Linked DNA regions of Arabidopsis thaliana. The protein of the gene in region 4 interacts with the protein of the main gene of each other region in a pairwise test. Each region holds a gene or a part of one and is shown on either strand. Other genes may lie near its edges.

What was found.
Region 1: the proteins of BZO2H3 (region 4) and GBF6 interact in binary tests that used the Arabidopsis thaliana proteins (3 or more experiments, as listed by UniProt).
Region 2: the proteins of BZO2H3 (region 4) and bZIP1 interact in binary tests that used the Arabidopsis thaliana proteins (3 or more experiments, as listed by UniProt).
Region 3: the proteins of BZO2H3 (region 4) and bZIP44 interact in binary tests that used the Arabidopsis thaliana proteins (3 or more experiments, as listed by UniProt).

The regions. Positions count from the first base shown.
Region 1 is NC_003075.7:16,519,620-16,524,367, forward strand, and holds GBF6 (G-box binding factor 6), read left to right. Parts: upstream 1-2,241; 5' UTR 2,242-2,829; coding exon 2,830-3,309; 3' UTR 3,310-3,611; downstream 3,612-4,748. UniProt on the Arabidopsis thaliana protein: Transcription factor that binds to the DNA sequence 5'-ACTCAT-3' in target gene promoters. Promotes POX1/PRODH1 expression in response to hypoosmolarity stress.
Region 2 is NC_003076.8:20,049,633-20,053,531, forward strand, and holds bZIP1 (basic leucine-zipper 1), read left to right. Parts: upstream 1-2,196; 5' UTR 2,197-2,512; coding exon 2,513-2,950; 3' UTR 2,951-3,103; downstream 3,104-3,899. UniProt on the Arabidopsis thaliana protein: Transcription factor that binds to the C-box-like motif (5'-TGCTGACGTCA-3') and G-box-like motif (5'-CCACGTGGCC-3'), ABRE elements, of gene promoters involved in sugar signaling.
Region 3 is NC_003070.9:28,289,513-28,294,121, reverse strand, and holds bZIP44 (basic leucine-zipper 44), read right to left. Parts: upstream 2,425-4,609; 5' UTR 1,899-2,424; coding exon 1,377-1,898; 3' UTR 1,114-1,376; downstream 1-1,113. UniProt on the Arabidopsis thaliana protein: Transcription factor that binds to the DNA G-box motif 5'-CACGTG-3' of MAN7 promoter. Involved in the positive regulation of seed germination through MAN7 gene activation.
Region 4 is NC_003076.8:10,795,263-10,800,491, forward strand, and holds BZO2H3 (bZIP transcription factor family protein), read right to left. Parts: upstream 3,044-5,229; 5' UTR 2,886-3,043; coding exon 2,619-2,885; intron 2,380-2,618; coding exon 2,289-2,379; intron 2,186-2,288; coding exon 2,074-2,185; intron 2,010-2,073; coding exon 1,934-2,009; coding exon of another isoform or gene 1,852-1,933; coding exon 1,726-1,851; coding exon of another isoform or gene 1,659-1,725; coding exon 1,386-1,658; 3' UTR 1,195-1,385; downstream 1-1,194. UniProt on the Arabidopsis thaliana protein: Transcription factor involved in controlling responses to starvation. BZIP2-BZIP63-KIN10 complex binds to the ETFQO promoter to up-regulate its transcription.

The DNA.
Region 1 (4,748 bases), on a different chromosome or scaffold from region 4:
AATGATAATGCAATTTAATTAAGAAAAAAATGATTATGCAAATTAAGATTAACGACGATGAGCGGTTGGTCTATGTCGGTTAGTTTTGTATAATGAGATTTCAAGATCCGAAGAAAATTTTGACCTTTTAAAAATTTAACCCAATTTTGTGAGAGTATCCCCGGAATTTTGGAGGTTGGCATGATTAGATATCAACTATCAAGTGTGTCGTACCATTCATGTAATTTCTTTTTTACTAATTTTGTTATATTTCTTTTTAACTGTTTTGATTTATTTATAAATAGACTAAAAAGTATGTTGAGTGAATATGTTTGGTGAAATTCATGCATCGTTTTTGGGAAGTGGGCTGGATCAGTGGATCTCTTCCACACTTTCCCAAACTAATAAAGAGAAACTGAAAATAAATAAAAAACGAAAAAAGTTAAATTATTTAATCGTAATTTAAATTTTGTAAAACAATTTTTATAACTAAAACACCATCTGTGGTAAGACGGTGGAATACATTAAGAATGTAGTATTAAATTACTACTCTACAAGTACTTAACTAATTATTATAATCCTTACATATTATCAGCATCTGAATAATTAACCCAGATTAATACGTATAAATCTTTCACAAATTGGAGAATAAGATTAGGAAATGAAAACAGCTGTATTGAGTCTGGAGAGTTCGTATCCCAACCTCACATGTCCCTCTCACCTTTTCTTCTTCTTCGGCCTACTTACACATGTTCTTCTCATTTTACTCTAAGCACAGATTCTTTTGTATTTCTTAATCTCTTTTTATTTTTATTTCAGGTTTTTTTTCATTTGATTATTCACAAATTAACTATTTTATTTAGTGTTGGTGGTAATTGATTTTTAATTAGTTTCATAGATTTCTGCAGACAAATTCTGGCTTTCATGTTTTTCTTTTTGCTTTTTTTTTTAATAATAATTCGCATTACAAATATATCATTAATTTTTCTTTCTCTTTTGTCGTTACGTGAAAATAGATTTGCTGTGTGTTTTTTTTCTCCCGACAAATATAGACTTAGAGCATTTCCATCGCGAGTTTCTGGATTCTGGTCTATTAAAACAGAACAAAAAATTCAAAAAATGTGGAGAGAAAGTAAAAACGTTTCTCACTTGAGAAACTCATTTTTGCTTTTGTTTTGTTTTGATTGGTTCAAATAATAATTAAAAAAATAAATAATAAAATAATAATAAAATTTATATTATTTTATAAAAATGGGTTTCTCACCGATGGAGATGGTCTTACTGTTTTACTGAAGAAGATTTAATAAAGTTCTCGCTTCTTTTTTCCTCTGAGCTTAACTTTTTACTTTTTGTGATAATAAAAAGAAGAAAACAAAGAAAAAGTTTTGTTTTCCTCTAAAACAAAGAATAGTTTTATCTGCAATCTTTGTAAAAGAAACTGTACTTTGTTTTTTTTTTCAATTTCTTTCCTCCTAAGAAATCACAGTACTAAACAAAACCAAAAGAAAAAAAAAAAAAATTTAGGCAGGTCAATTTTTAAGCTGGTCTGTTTTTGTGTGAGCTTTAATTTTCTGTCTTTGAAATATCTTTATCTACCACGACAGTTTATAAAATTTGAAAGGGAAATTTATTTGGTATTAGGTTTCTAAGAACTTCAATAAAGCTATATTTTCAATTACTTGTTATTAAATGCAAAAAAAAATCTAAATGGATGTTTAGGTATAACTGCAACAAAATTTATGGAAAAAACAAGACTTGATGAATGTATAATCTCAAGAGTTATTTTAAGCATAAATTTAAATCTAAATTTTCTATTTAAAATTATTTGATGAATTTTTCTATTTTTAATTATGATAAATGCAAGATTCATAGTATCTAAATTTAATACAGTATATGATTAGGCTTTTCATTAAACAATATAAATATTTTTTTTATCTTGACATAATGATGAGTAAATAATTTACCAACTAAATACATATAATTTTTGATCAATACCATTCAAAAGAAGAAAAAACACTTTCTCTTACTTATCTTTGAATTAATTTTGAAATATTTCATTAAGAAAAATTAATTGTTTAAAATATTGCTTTGATTAATGTAGACACTCTAGAAAACTTTTTAAAGGTTAGGGAAAAAATGTTACCAAAAAAAAGTTAGGAAAAAAATGTAAAAATAAAGAAAAGAATCTTCTTCCCCTAATAGAATCCAAACAAATGTATCGCTTACCATCAAGTTGCACAAACACTCAAAACGCTTTTTGATGATTTTTCTTCTATAAAATCTTTCTCCTCAACCATTTCAAAGCCCCCTCTTCTCTCCTTCTCTCCCTTTTCTCTCTCTCTCGAAGATATCGCCTTTAATTCCTTCTTCTTCTTCTGATTTCTTCAAAGATTCATTTCTTAGAGATCTCAGCTTCTGTAAGAGTAGGCTAGCTACCAAAAAAAAAGAAATAGAAAAAAACATTGATGCTTAATCAGCAGTTCTTGGTGTTTGAGACACATGTCTCCAATAATACTCAGTGAGATCTTTCTCTCTGGGTTTATGTTAAATTCCACAATCAGGCGCAGGACCCATCTTGTTCAATCTTTCTCTGTTGTCTTCCTTTACTGGCTTTACTATGTCTCATGATCTCTGAACTTATCTCCAGTTTTATATCTATACGCATAATTACAACAAAACCCTAGTTTCTTTTCAAATTTCTCTTCTTCGTTTTTCGTCATCTGGGTCCTGTCCTGTTCTGTTGTGTCTTGTTCTGTTCTGTTTTTAATTCCCCTAAAAACCCATTTTAAAATATTTTATCTCTCTTCTCTTAAAAAAAACTCTTCCCTGTTTTTGTTTGTGTGTTACTAAATGGAATCGTCGTCGTCGGGAACAACTTCGTCGACGATTCAAACGTCGTCAGGATCGGAGGAGAGTCTCATGGAGCAGAGGAAACGTAAACGGATGCTCTCAAACCGTGAATCTGCAAGGAGATCAAGAATGAAGAAACAAAAGCTCCTAGACGATCTAACGGCTCAGGTTAATCATCTGAAAAAAGAGAACACGGAGATCGTGACAAGTGTCAGCATCACAACGCAACACTACCTAACCGTTGAAGCAGAGAACTCTGTTCTCAGAGCTCAGCTTGATGAACTTAACCACAGGCTCCAATCTCTCAACGACATCATCGAGTTCCTCGACAGTAGCAACAACAACAACAACAACAACATGGGCATGTGTTCGAACCCTCTGGTTGGTTTGGAGTGTGATGATTTCTTCGTGAATCAGATGAACATGTCTTATATTATGAACCAGCCTCTCATGGCGTCTTCTGATGCTTTAATGTATTAAATGTGGACCTAAAAACCCCCTCGAAATCACAAAGAAATGGGGCCGTTTTTATTTGTCCGATTTAGAGACATGTCCAAAGAGAGAGATTTATATATAAAAATGGGTCTGTTGTTTGATTTGTTTCCATTTCAAATTTTTGTTTGTTTGGGTCCGTTTTAGGCGTTAGGTATCTCTAAGCATCATCGTTATGAGTGTGTCTGTAATAAAGGCTCTGTTGCCGCATGAGTACAAAGTGTTTTCTTAATATTGTAATATGCTTATTACTTTCTTTTTATTCTTAAGTACTAATCCCATTTTTATATAATTTCTTGAGCATTAATAGTAAAGTAATAAAATGTATCGTAGTAAGAGTTTCGCATGTAACGTACGCTCTACAGAATCATGTTTCACGCCAATCAAACATTATAGTAGGCAGATGAAATATCAATGATAAAATAGCTTGTAATTTTGGGTAATCTTCAACTCGCCAAAGTAAAATTTTAAAAAGGTGTTAATGTTGATTAAGGTGTTTTTAGTCATGAACGAGTGTGGATGATATTAGATTCAGTTTATAGATTTGGATCTATTCTTAAGAAGAAGACTTACGAAATTCAAAACTTTTAAGAATCTAGATGAATTGAGGGTTGGTAGGTTAATGTTGTAATAAGAAGAAACCTTATTTTCTTTTTGATCTGGAAAAAGATAAACAACATATAACATCTTACATAAAATCCTTTTATGTCTGAAGATCTCTCAGAATAAGAAATGAAACTGTGCAGATTCTTGTAAAATATTTTAAACTTATTTCTTGTGAATTTTGGAGATTTTTTTTGTGTGCTAGACTTATAGGTGAAATCATAGCCTCTTGTATTCTTTGCTTTTACACATCATCTTTTAATTGATTTTCTTATCTCAAATTTCTTTTTGGGATTTTAAATTTCACAGTTCCATTTATCACCAATAGATCCATATACAAGTACATCACAAAATAATGGTTATACTACATCGTGAGTAATAATGGGAATCCTATTCTACCCTTTTGGCAGAACTATACTTTTTGTTGCTGGATAGTTTGTTTTATATCCATTGATCACGGATGGTTCATTTCATAAATATTATAAATAGAAAGCCTCTTTTTATTTTATATGAAGAAGTCTTCTATTTGATAATTGCGGTATATATTTTTTACCTTTATTTCAAGTTTAGTATTCCTTCTTGAGAATATCGTACATGTGTCGACAGACTCGAGAGATTATAAAAAGGCATCTTATGTGTTTTGATCTAGCTAGGCTCTTAGGAACATTGAAAAGATATGTAATTCATTGCTTACTGTTTGTAGTTTCGAAGATAATAAAGACCCAAAACGTAAGTTAAGTGAAGGGGTTAATTATTAAAAAAAAAACTAACAGAATGTGAAGTACTAAAGGAGATAGTTGATAAAAACCAGAATATCATTTTAT
Region 2 (3,899 bases), 9.3 Mb from region 4:
TGTCTAACAAATTGGATGATGTAATCATCATCATCATCATCATCATGAATCGTGATAACTACGAGAATATACTAATTGTCGGATCAGCAATTATCTATATTGAACCCATTAAAAGATTATAAATGTCTGTATACAAAGAAGTCGAAGACGATAAATCATATATATATATTCTGTACACATAGGTATTTGCTATAACGTTAGAAGGATTATAAAATTCTATATTTGAAACACTTGATTGACTTTCTAGAGCACACACAAAACTACTGTTAAAACAAAGAAAACAAAAATAAGAATGCAAACTTTCTTAATACGATAAACAGGAGCAAATGTTTTTATTTGTTAAACTTGATTTAGTTCACGTTCTTAGATAAATGTGTTAGAATTTGAGAAGTTTTATTTCTGTTTTGTACTTGTCTTCTTAAAATTAGATATAGGGTTCAAAAAAAAAACTTGCATGTTTATTCTATCATTTAGTTTATACACATACATTTTAAACTATAAATTAGGATTCTAATATGACAACAACACTTTTAAAACAAACCACTAAGTTTCAACCACAATTTGGAACTAATAATTAAAAAAATAATTAAGAAAGTTGATAGAGAAATATCAATGGCAAAAAAAAGAGAAACTACAACACTCCCTAAAACCCAAAACATTAAATTTCAATATATCATGTATATGATTACAAATTTAACAAATTTCATAAAAAAAACAAAGAAATATGTAACCAGTAGTTTAAACAATAATGGTGGTAATAGTCAATTGGTTAAACCTATTTAACTCCACATTTTCTACTGGAGTTTGACTTTATTAAATCACGTTATTTGGATAATAGTTAGGGATTATCTATAGATCAGATCTTATTAATGAAAATATGTCAAACAAAAATAATAATAAATTTGTTATCTAAATAAAACTTTTAATATACTTTACCACGTTATAAACACTTAAAATAAAATAACAATTAACAGCAATTTACATGTAGATTTCTGCATTAGTTTTTTCATTTTTTTCTAGTTTGTTCAAAACCTCAAATATCAAGATTGACTCAGACCCGAACAAAAGGTCCGTAGAACCTAAACAAATTTCTAAAACTAGCCAACCAATGAAGTGCATCTACTTTTTTTTTATGAAAAATAATTATATTGAAGTATTTTATTTATCTGATAAATAAATAATGATATATAGTTTATCGGTGAGCAGATAAGGATCGTGTATTTTCAAGTATTATATTAATTAATAAATTATCGCCCATCTTCTATTGTTTTGTATTTTCATTTGAAAAGAAAGCAGGGCTGGCTTATCAATATATACAGTCTCTTTCTTTTAGTTTACTAAAATCATTTCAGATAAGACCCACACAAAAGTAATATCAAATGGAATTTTGCTTTCAACATGGATAATTTTCTTTAATAATAAAATTGTCAACCATGTTAAGCGTAATCTCTAAATCCCCAAAATTAAAAACACTAAAAATAGTCGGTCATTGCTCCACGTTTAACCTGTCCAATTCCAAAAGAACTTCGTGTTTCATTGACGATATAGTTTACGTACGTATGATTCTTTCTAAATGAGGTATTTTTGTCCCATTAGCAATTTAAAATTTAAAATGGTTGTGTAACTTTTTGAAATGCTTAGTAGTTAAAACCGAACTAAGAAGAAATAATGATCGGAACGTGTTTATGTCAGCTAATGCATTACCCACTGACATTAACTGATCCAGTTTACTGATTTTAGACAATCATACTCTATTTTTACTGGAGTTGCAGAAAAAGGGACTTACAAAACGATGAATTAAATTTGGACAAGTATATATACATAATTAGAAGGTTATAGAATCTAGTTTTCGTAGGATATTTCTTGAATTATCCTACGAGTGTGACAACTAAATGCACAACAAAACAACAATTTAAATGCTAAAAAGCAAAAATAGTAATTACTGGTCACCTATTAAGGAACAACACCAACACCTATTTAGCTGTTATGTCCTAATAAAAATAAAATAAAATAAAAACAATAAACCAAAAAAGTAAAAAATAAAAATGTTTGACTAAAATTCTCTTTCTTTTCCGATTCGTCATTCGATGAATCTTCCTTTCTTATACAATTTGGATAATCTTTTCTAATGTAAAAATTCGAGATTTTTTTTTATAATGTTAAATCTATAAATAAGAGCAACCTAAAACGAACAACTTCTCCCACTTTCCTTATTTTCGATCTTATCCTTATCTTCTTCCTTGTTCTATTTCTCTTCTAACTAATCTCTTCTCTTCTCTTAAAATCAAACGTAATCATAAATAAAGATCTTCTTGTTTAATTTCTCTTGATCCTCGCAAAATCACAGATTCTTGAAATTCTTTTTTCTTGTCTTGAAATTCTTGAGTTCTTGAGTTATGAAAAGACAATGGACAGAGTTATGAAATGATAAATCTCAACCAATTCCTTGTTTATCATTCTATATCAGTTGTGATTCTTCATTGGTTTTACGTTATCTCTTGAACAAAAAAACATGGCAAACGCAGAGAAGACAAGTTCAGGTTCCGACATAGATGAGAAGAAAAGAAAACGCAAGTTATCAAACCGCGAATCTGCAAGGAGGTCGCGTTTGAAGAAACAGAAGTTAATGGAAGACACGATTCATGAGATCTCCAGTCTTGAACGACGAATCAAAGAGAACAGTGAGAGATGTCGAGCTGTAAAACAGAGGCTTGACTCGGTCGAAACGGAGAACGCGGGTCTTAGATCGGAGAAGATTTGGCTCTCGAGTTACGTTAGCGATTTAGAGAATATGATTGCTACGACGAGTTTAACGCTGACGCAGAGTGGTGGTGGCGATTGTGTCGACGATCAGAACGCAAACGCGGGAATAGCGGTTGGAGATTGTAGACGTACACCGTGGAAATTGAGTTGTGGTTCTCTACAACCAATGGCGTCCTTTAAGACATGAGATTTGTGTATTAGTGTGTGTTTTACTTTGGTCATTTTATAGTTTTTGTAATCTTTTTATATCGAATTGTTTCTTCTCATTACTTTCTGAATTCTGATACAATTGCATATCTTATTGTTTTCAACATTTTCATTTAACGTTATATGATTTTCGGTGGTTAACCCGAAAGAAAAAAAAAAAGTTTTTTTGGTACCTTGCATGTAAATGGCAGAACTGATGAAGTAATCAAAATTGAAGCAAAAAGTGGGGAAGTAGTATATGTTCTGGTCATAATTGAGTATTACCGATAAAAATTGCTTTGGTAACACGATAACAATTTTTTGTGTCAAATTTTTCAATTTTATGAATAATTCAAAATAATATAGGGCTTGAATGGTATGTGTCTTATTTGCATGTTCATGTGTTTCAAAACGTGATTTTGCCGAGTGTATACCATTCACAATAATAACCACGGAGTGATAAACCGTGAAAATTAATAAGCTATTTTCCAATCTATTTCGCATGTGTTAAATGTATAACTAACTAGTTTAGACAAAGTCATTTATTAAGTAGCTTTTTGGCGTGTTAAGTTTATTCCGTTTTGAATTTTGTCGTCCTGGTGATTCCGCTATTGTATTGTTCAGTTATTCAACTAATGTACCAGTCAAGTCTTTACCCCTTAGTTTAGAGTTTTCTCGTTTTGATGGGTTTGATTGGTATGTGAGATGGATAGCTGAACAATAGAATAACTAAATAATGGTTAGCTGAATGAAATGAACTAAAGAAAGTTTATGTAGAATGATTATAAATTGCTAAAAAAAACTAGTTATTGTAGATTAATCACGTTTCTTAGTTATAATTTTTAATACGCTAGTGCTATATAATGGAATCATTTTTTTAAACATGAAAACGTTAAAACTTGATAAAATTTTGAAAGGTAAAAATAGCGGAATCACGTTTTAAAAACGTG
Region 3 (4,609 bases), on a different chromosome or scaffold from region 4:
TGCCTGCTGACGATCATTGAGGGTGATTTGTTTGTCAAATTAGCTCGTCGAATGTCATCATTGTAATTAAACCCCGTTATTATTGCCATTGTAAACTTCGTTGAAACTCATTCATGCATGATATATTCATATATATAGCCTAGGGTTACGTTGAAAGATTCATTTAAGGTTAGGATCGGAGATCATTGTTTGAGTTTTTCCAAAAAAGAATTGGAATTGTATATGTTAAAAAAAATTTAAATGACGAGAATACTCGTGTTTTACTTTCACAGTTCCAAAGATTAGTGTAGACTTTGTTTTAAGAAAATTAATATTAGTGTTGACCTTAGTTTGAGATTCATCGATAAAAAAAAAAAAAAAAAGAACGTATGTTATGAAAATTTCAGATCCAAATGGCACAACACATAATAATGAACTGGTTTAGCAATGATATGATTTCCCTTAACCACTTCATGAAATATTAAGTGAATTTGTGAATGATCGGGATTTGAGATCAAAGAATTGGCATTCAGATATTTAAAGGATCAAAGAAACGAAATGATTGAGAATAACGAGATCATATGGCCTCGTACGTAAGAGCATCTTCATCGACAAAAGTGGTAGAGAATATCTCAAAAAATAAATAAATTAGTATTTTAATTAAATTAATATATTTTAATTAGTTTAAAGTAAATAAACCATTAGTTGAATGACAACTCTCAATAAATGCTAAGAATCGTCTCTTTTGCCAGAAACGGTTCGCCACTTTTCTTTCTTTCTCTCTTGTTTTTTTTCTTTTTAATTATTATTTATTTGATGAGTATCTCAATCAGATACTTCGATGGAGATGGTATAAAATTCTTAAAAAAGAAAAAAACTCGAGTGACCCATGATAACAACTCATTTTGATGTAAGTACCAAAATGCATAATTATTTTATCACATCGGGAAAATATAGTCTCTAACACAATAATCACAACACACCATTTCTATATAGTATTTTAAATGGACCACCGCCATCTACAAAAACCGTCCACGAGCTTTCACATTATTTTCATTTATTTCACTAATAGCCAAAATTTCATCTTTCTAATAAGAGCAACAATAACTCCCAAATAAGGAAACAGAAAACTCTAAGAAAATGACAAAATATTATTTCTTCACTTTTAATATATAGAAAGAAAAGATCTTAAAATATTTGTACCAAACTCACATCACCATCTCCATGATATCACACATTTCTTACACTGTCTATCATTACAATCAGTTTTAAACACTAATTAACCATCTTATAAAATAAAGAAACAAAGCATCATCACATAATTTATAAGAAAAATTACAGTTTTACCCCTGCTGCGATGATTAGTCTCACTCACGATGATAATGATGTGAAGTTTTCTAACAGTTGAAAACATCACCAGCAGTAGAAGCAGAAGCCATGATTGGTTGATTATAAAACCCTAGATTCATAGGATTCATCACGCCGTCGAATAATCCACCGTCGAATAATCCCTGACCGGTCTCCATACCGAATCCTGAAGAAGAAGATTCGACGAAATCAACGATCTCGTTAAGAGATTGGAGACGGTGGTTAAGTTCAAGAACCTGAGCTCTGAGAATGTCGTTCTCCGCCTCGATAGTGACGTAGTGCTGCGTCGTGACGGCGATTCCGGCGACGATCTGAGCGTTTTCTTTACGTAGATGAGTCACCTGAGCAGTGAGATCATCCAAATGCTTCTGCTTCCTCATCCTCGACCTCCTCGCAGATTCTCTGTTCGACTGTTTCCTCTTTCTCTTCCGCTCGTCGATTAGATCACGTTGCCGGAGATCAGATTCTGAACCGGAGTTAGCTAAACCAGTGGTTGAAACCGACGAGCAATTTCCACTTGTGGAAGATCCCATTTCAGTTTTATTATTCATATTAAAACACACAGAGAAAATTAAGTACTATGATTAAGACGCAGGACCCAAAGTTTATTATGTAAAAAGATTATAGTATATAGTTTTAATATATTATTATGGTTATAGAATATATAATAATAAAGGGCTAAAGGAGAGCTGATTTATGAGAAAACATAGAACCAGTAGAGAAAGACGACGGAGAAAGATTGAACAAGATGGGTCCTGCGTCTAAGAGACGAGTCTATAGTTAAACCAGATCTAAGGATTTCACTAATCACCGGAGACATGAATGTTTGAACATCAAGATCCACAAGAGTTTTGCCACATCAAATATTTATCAAACGCAAACTGATTACTAGTGTTTTTTTCTAGAGAAAACTGAAAAGAGAGAAAATATAAAAAGGTAGAAGAAAACGAGGAAGACAAAATAAAAACGCTAAAGAAGAGAGAGTGATTGATTCGAGAGCGAAGGGGAAGAGGTGAATTAAGGATTTGTGAGGGGATTTTATAGAGTTAGCAAAAAGGGTTTAGAGCATACTAGATTTAATAAGAAAATAAAGAGAGTATAAAGTGAATATCAGAAAGAAGGTGTTGAGAGATGAAGCATGTGAAGTGGGATTTTCCGAAACAGTCAAGTTACAGCTGTTTTGCAATATTTTATTTATATATTTATGTGTATGGGTTTAATTGTAAATTAATGATTCTGTATAATTAACCAATAACTATTTTTAGACATTTTTAATATGGAAAAGGAAAGAATCTTCGGTATTGGGTATCCTATTTTGTGAAAAGTTTTGATTTTTAAAATCTTCAAATTTTATTCTCTGATGAAAACAACGCGTTTAATTAATTTTGGTCAAATGATGGCTTTCAACAATATTACAGTAACACTGATAATAATAGTTTTGTATTAATGCTAACTTTTACTGCTAAAGAATCTTAAAGATAATAATAATAAGAATAATTGAAACTTTTGTCGTTGGTTCTCGACTTCTTTTTAATACATCAAAATCACCGCCCAAAGTACCAGAATTAACCGTTGAGCAACGGACACCTGGAGCATGAGACAAATCATGAATGAGGGTAGAGGTGGTATTTTCGTTATTTAATTTCTTATACATATATCTTTTTGTCAATAATTCAATCAATTTCGCTGTCCAAAAAAATAATATATATATTTAGGATAATAAATTAATAGTTTAGAAAACTATCAACTAACCAGCCGTTGAATTTATCGCCGTATGAAGCATCAAAATTAGAACTATTATTATCTTTACAATATTTCTATAACGTTTTGGAGTCCACTATAAAATATCAAGTTACATATCGAAAAGAAAAGACAAAAAGAAAAAACAATAAACTTTAAACGAGTAAATTACAGTACGGTAAAAAACTACTATTTGACAACAAAAAGAAGAACATATATACATTATCTAAACATTAAGGGTGTCAAAAACTTTAACTCATTGAACTTCATGTGACCGACGTGTTGTGGTACGTATAGTTACATAACATTGGATTGTAGAATCCAAGACGTAAATTCGTGTCAATTTATAAAATAATTTTATTGTGTGTAACATATTACATGTGGACCATGACTACTTAATCATTTGGTTTTGGTGCTTTAACTGAAATGGTTTGTGAGAAACTCTTTACCAAATTTTTTTGTTCATCCTCGAGCTCGTAATTAATCAAACATTTCGGCAAAACTTTGATATCTATAAATCTCATAAAAAGATTGAAATAAGAATAATACGTACTCATCTACAGCTCTATAACTTACAATAATATTATATACTAAATTTTGTAAAACACACATATATATATAGCTTAATTAATTGAATAGGAAAATTATGTAAGATGGACCGTCATAGTACGGACATCTCACGTGCAATTGCAATGCAAAGAGTGCGTGCTCTGTGCGCATGTGGACCCATGTCAAACATCGCAGTTGAGATGTAAGATCGACACGTGTCATTTTATTATTGAAAATGGATTTTTAAAAAGAAAAAATGTTGGTTCAATCGAATAAGTGAAGTCTAACGTTAATTAGGTATTTCCAATTAATGAATGTGTCCCTGCAAACATTGCAACAGGTAAGAAAAAGTAATTTGTACTAATTTGTCTTCTTCACACAATGCTTATTTGGCCTTATTTTTTTAAAAAATCTTTCATTTTAAATGAAAAATTAATTTTATTCGATACAGAAACATAATTTTCTTTACAAAATCGAAGATTTTTCAGATACCCAAGGTTTCATCGAACTAATTAAGATATCTCAAATATATTTATCATAACGCAAAATCAATTGAATAAATAAATAAAAATGCGACATGTATTGGAAAGGCAAAAGATCCCACTATAAATTAATGTCTAAAATACAAATGGTTACCACTTACCATAAAAATAATAATCGTCACCTCAATAATTTTTCATTCAACAAAAAGATTGTTGTTATTGCTTTCTACTAAGGCATATCACATCTTCTTTTTTTTTTGGGCAACAGGCATATCACATCTAATTTCATAAAATAAAAACTGATGTAGAGACTGTTTTATTTTATATATAGTATTACACACACAAAAAAATAAAAATCATACAACCATAATAGCCGAGATAATATTATTTAATATTAATGTTTATTACTTATTATGTCAAATAAATTATCAATAAAACTAGTTCACCTAACTAATTTAATTAGATAAATATCTTAAGAAATTTCAGAATAT
Region 4 (5,229 bases):
GATGAAAAAACAAAAACAAAATACATCAAAATTACTTTTTTTGGTTTCCGGCAAAGTTCGGTTTGTTGCGAGCTTTTGTTAGCATTTGTGGCTATTTCTTTTTAGTTTTTTCTTCTCCTTTCCTTTTGCAGATGTCGTTAGAGGCAAAATCTGAGGGGTAATTCCAAGATTCTGAATATTCATCTGCTTGATCTCGTTTCTGAGGAGAGTAAATCCTCATACCGTTTAGTGGACATCTAATCGGCTTTGGATGTTGGTTTCTCTTTGAGCTTGTGAATCGTGAAAGTTGGATTTCGTGTCTGGTTGAGACCAAATTAGCAAAGCGACGTATAGCGACTAATTTGACATCTCATCTTCTCGCGGATTCCAGAGTTTAATAGATTTGAAGATTCAAGGACATCGGTTTTCTACCTTTTCAAAAACGCTGCAAATGGATCTGGTGAAATACGGAGTAAGAAGCTGAAATCTGTTGGAATCAAGTGCTGAAAATGGTGATTTTCCTCACTGAAATTCTTTTGAATCTGACCGGATTTTTCCATTTTTGGTGGCAAGTCGGTTGTTTTCCACCACTCCTTTGTGCAATAACACGTGGGACGTGGCTAACACGTGTCTCATTTTAAACCTAGTCTTAATTTGATGTATTATTGTATGGGTTTAGTTTGGACTTATATCATGGGGTTTTGGATCCACAAATTTCACCTATACTTCTCTTATAATTTGCCCTTTTGGGTTAGTAATCAAAGAAATTGTCGACAAAAAAAAATACGTCAAAAGTACTCCTAAATTTTATATAATATACAAAATTTCTAAATATTTCATGAATATTAATTCTACAAAAGAGCATATTAATTCTTATTAGAGATGTTTTATCCGATCTGAACCAAATCAAAATAATCGATACGAAAAAACGAACATAATTGAATATCTTAAATCATAATTTAAAGGTTACTTTGAAAAAAAATATAAATTAATAAGGTTTAATTATAGTTATTTTATTTATATATATATTTATAATCTAATTCGGATTTAAACAAAAATTATTGATAGAAACCCGATTCTAAGAGCCGAAATTTGGGATTAAACTCGTAATTTCTAGTTTCAATAACCAAAATTATACGTTTGCATCGTTGCCTCATCACCATTTCAATAGTTTCACTAGGTGAAATTGATAAAACTTGTAATTCTTAACAGAAATTAGAAAAACTTTGTAAATTTAACAAAAGACATGTACAATGAAAATTAGAAGTTCAACACAAACAATCAACGAAGAAGACAAAAAAAAATTTAAATAATCTGAAAAAACAATTCTTTACAAAAACATACAACATTTTGTCTTAACATATGTCTTAAGATTAATGTTACAAATCAAGATTCTTCTTTAACAGCTACTGATCCCCAACGCTTCGAATACGTTTCTGCAGATGTTCCAAGCTCTCAACTCTACGCATCGAAGCTGTTCTGTTCATCTTGCACCCTATCAAGGCCTTGCCTTTGTTCCCCGAGCTAATGATCTCTGGTGTAGTCACTTGGCTGCTTGTAGTGTCTGGAGAATTTGATGTCTCTGAAGGAAGAGAGACAGTTGAAACAATCTGAGGCATATTGTGGAACATTGGGTTAAAGCCAGTGAGTCTCTTCACTGTCTCTTCAGCCATTTTCACCTGCCAAAAACAAACATGCTTCAATAGCGAGTTTTGGTAGACAGAGAGATAAAAGAAAGTATTTTACCTTTGCTCGTAGTGTCTCAATATTGGCTTTTAAAACTCTGTTTTCTACAGATGCATCATTGAATGTTTGAGTTACATCAGTGAGACCCTTCATGAGTTTTGAATTCTCTACACGAAGCTGTGAAACCTACACGAAATGGAGATTGTCGCACAAGTGAGCTAAACAAAGTTAAAGGAGAAAGAATAAGAACGCTGCGAGAGTAACATACTTGTGTCTCTAGCTCACTCAAGTGTGCTTGCTTTCTTCTTCTGGACCGTCTAGCTGATTCTCTATTAGAGAGCATCCTATAACAAACAAATTCACGTTCATGTTCATGTTCAAGTCCAAGAAAGGATGTAAATTTGTTACCTTTTAACGCGTTTAACATTAGTAGGGTTCATATTAGTTTCACCATCAGCTTCTTCTTCATCACCAGAGAGCTCAGATCCACTTGTTATAGCACTGCTCATCATTGGTGTAGCTGCATACAGATTGGTCCATTAGCATTTACAAGAAATCTTGAAAACAAACACAACAACTATCAATAACATCTTAAAAGGCTTATCATAGATGTATTGTAAAACCTTTGGAAGAAGCAAGAGAGGCTTGTTCTGATTCATTGGCTCCACCATTGTCAGATCTACCAGAAGTATCCTGAGGTTTGATGAAAGTTCCCTATCAAATTTTCAATATTAACACCACAAAATCAATTAACTAATGCAAATTATAATCTCAAGGAAGATAATGGCAAATCATATACAAAAGGTCCAATAAGATCTTAACACTCAAACATAACAAAACAAGATTAGTTTCTTAGCTTCAAGTGAACTCATCAAACTAACAGATAAAAAGGTTTTGTTTTTCTTTTTCTATGAAAAAAAAAAAAACTCAAACTTGAGCAGAGTAGTGAGTACCCTTTTCATGGCGACAGCAGCACAAGCAAGATTAAGTTTACTCTTGAGAAATGCTCTGTATTCCTCTGAATCTACAGGAACATTAGGAGGAGAGGAGACGGAAACACCACACGCCGTCGTAGATTCTCCGTCGTCTGCAGCGGCGGAGGATTCTTGTATGAAACGATTGAATGCCCATTCGGAAGCACTGCGATTCAACGACGTCATTCCATTAACCGACCAGTGATGGTTACCGGAGATTTCTTCGTCGGAGAAAACTTTTTCCATCTTTTCTCTTTTGTAATTTGTTTGTTTCTTTAGTTTTATTTATTTTTTTTTGGTTTCAAATTGTCAAAACAGTTTCTTCTTATCCGATTGGGCAGTCTTGCATTTTAATAATATGTTCTTTTCAAGTTTTGTTGTTTTGTTAGATATTTAATTGTCTGATTATTACCCTAATGGCCCCGACAAGAGTCGTGTATTTCTATTTACAGCAAAAACTTTTGATTTATTCTGTTAGGTCACTGTTTTCTTGTAGTATCTTAAAAAACGACAGGTCATAATACAAAAAATTATAACGATTTTTATTAACAACAGAACTAATAATAAATAAAAGGAAAAAAGTATCTGGAAATATGGTTTTAGTTATACTAATTTTTCTACTTTTTAGAACAATTTTTAGTTTATAAGATATATAGAATGGAAAAAATAATTAAAGTGTCAAACTTTTTTTTTTCTTTCTTAAAACATGTTTTTAAAAAAGGTGAGATTCGCCTACAGTTACAACGAATAATAATATTAAGATACACAAATTAAAATAGAAAAAACTGATCAGAGTCAAAAAAGAAAATTGTATCCTAGTGGACAATGGAAAACGGAGAATCTACTGCTTAACCCACCTTATCTCAATATCTTTCTTCGATCTCACAATGGCCGACACAATGACCGAGCTACGAGAAAAAATTGTTACTATCACCAACGTCCTCTACCATAAAGGGATTTTTCGAGGTAAGGGATTTTACTCACTCTTGAGCACTCAAGATAAATTCCAAGATTAGCGGTAAAAATCAAAAATAATCGAAAATTTTAAATTTAAAAACGATTCTTTAAGAAAGAAAAAACCGTTAGAAACGATGTAATGATTGTAATTTTTCAGACCATTTTATAAAAAAAATAAATAATATTATTAAGAAAACAAAAATTATTAAGATTATCAGAAATGCAGTCTCCTTCACAAACTTCATTGCCTAATTGTTTACTCAAATGTGTAATATATATCGATCTTATATTCCACGTTTGAAAGGGGACGATTAGGGGTTCATATTTATAAACAACAAATGTTGGTGTATAATTGATAAAAACAGAAGAATATGAGGAGCTTAAAGTAATATTTAAAATATACATGTAATAATATTTGTTTATGCCTTATTGGATTTAATAATATTTTTTTCAACGCTTTTTGGGGCAAATCCAAGTCAGACTGACGTGGCAAGGGGTATTTTAGTCAATTTAAATTTTGATCTGCATCACAAGAATATATAAATAATAAATATTATAGTTGTCGTCGGTTTTGTAACGTAACTTCATTTCATGGGTCCATTTAATATTCCCATTTGCATTTTACAAAGGAAAGGAGAGATCCGAGAGGAACATAATATATAGTTTTGTAAGTGAAGTTAGATTAGAGAAATGTACTAAACTTCTGATTTTTGGATAAGAATCTATCCAAATTCAAGTTGCATATTTTGGTGGGTCCTTTATTTTTGCATATATTAGTACACTTGTGCAAAACCTTTTATCAAGAGAATATCTAGTGAGAGAGAAACATAACACTTGCAAACCAAGTGGATGTTGGTGGTTTGACTTTGAGAATATCAGTAGTTCAACTCTATTTGAAAGAATGATTTACGTTTTATCAAAGTACGTCTCTATTACACCATTAGTAGAATTTTGTAGACTTTTCTATGTTAAAGTGGTTTAGAAAAATCTCAAACTGTATAATTTCGTGTGACATTTTGTCTTATTTTAGGAAGAATTATTATGTAGGTTAGGTTATGAATCAATTTCTAAATCATTCTTATTTTGACCTGGTGTCATGTTTAAGGTTTATTAAAAATCCGATGAATGGACTATTCAACGGCTACACTCAGAGTTGGTCCTAAAACCCAAAATATTTTTTGCCTATAAATATTTAAAATATAGCAAAATGATGCATTGGAGACTTAAACCTATAACATGAGAAACAAAAAAACCCGGAAAAATCACTGTCCTACAAGAAATTTATAGTTTTGGTGCTTTCAAAATGAAATATATATTTTGAGGCTTAAAACCCTTAATTGTTCAGCTTTAGATTAGGACAGACAGTGGATACATTTACTTTGAAAAAGTTTGTCGATGGTAAAACTGGAACACCCCTGATTATCAGATTTTTTTTTTTGTTGTCTTACTTTCAAAAGAGTAGGTTTATCTGTTCAAGAAACTATTTCTACATTTTTTTGTGGATTTTTTTCGTGTCGTGTATGGGTTATTTATTCGTTGGTTTGTTTTTCTTTTTCCGTATAATGCTGAAAGATTTGGAAAATAGAACATTGCCAAAAAAAAAAGATATGCATGCAGCTAGGCCGGTGGGATC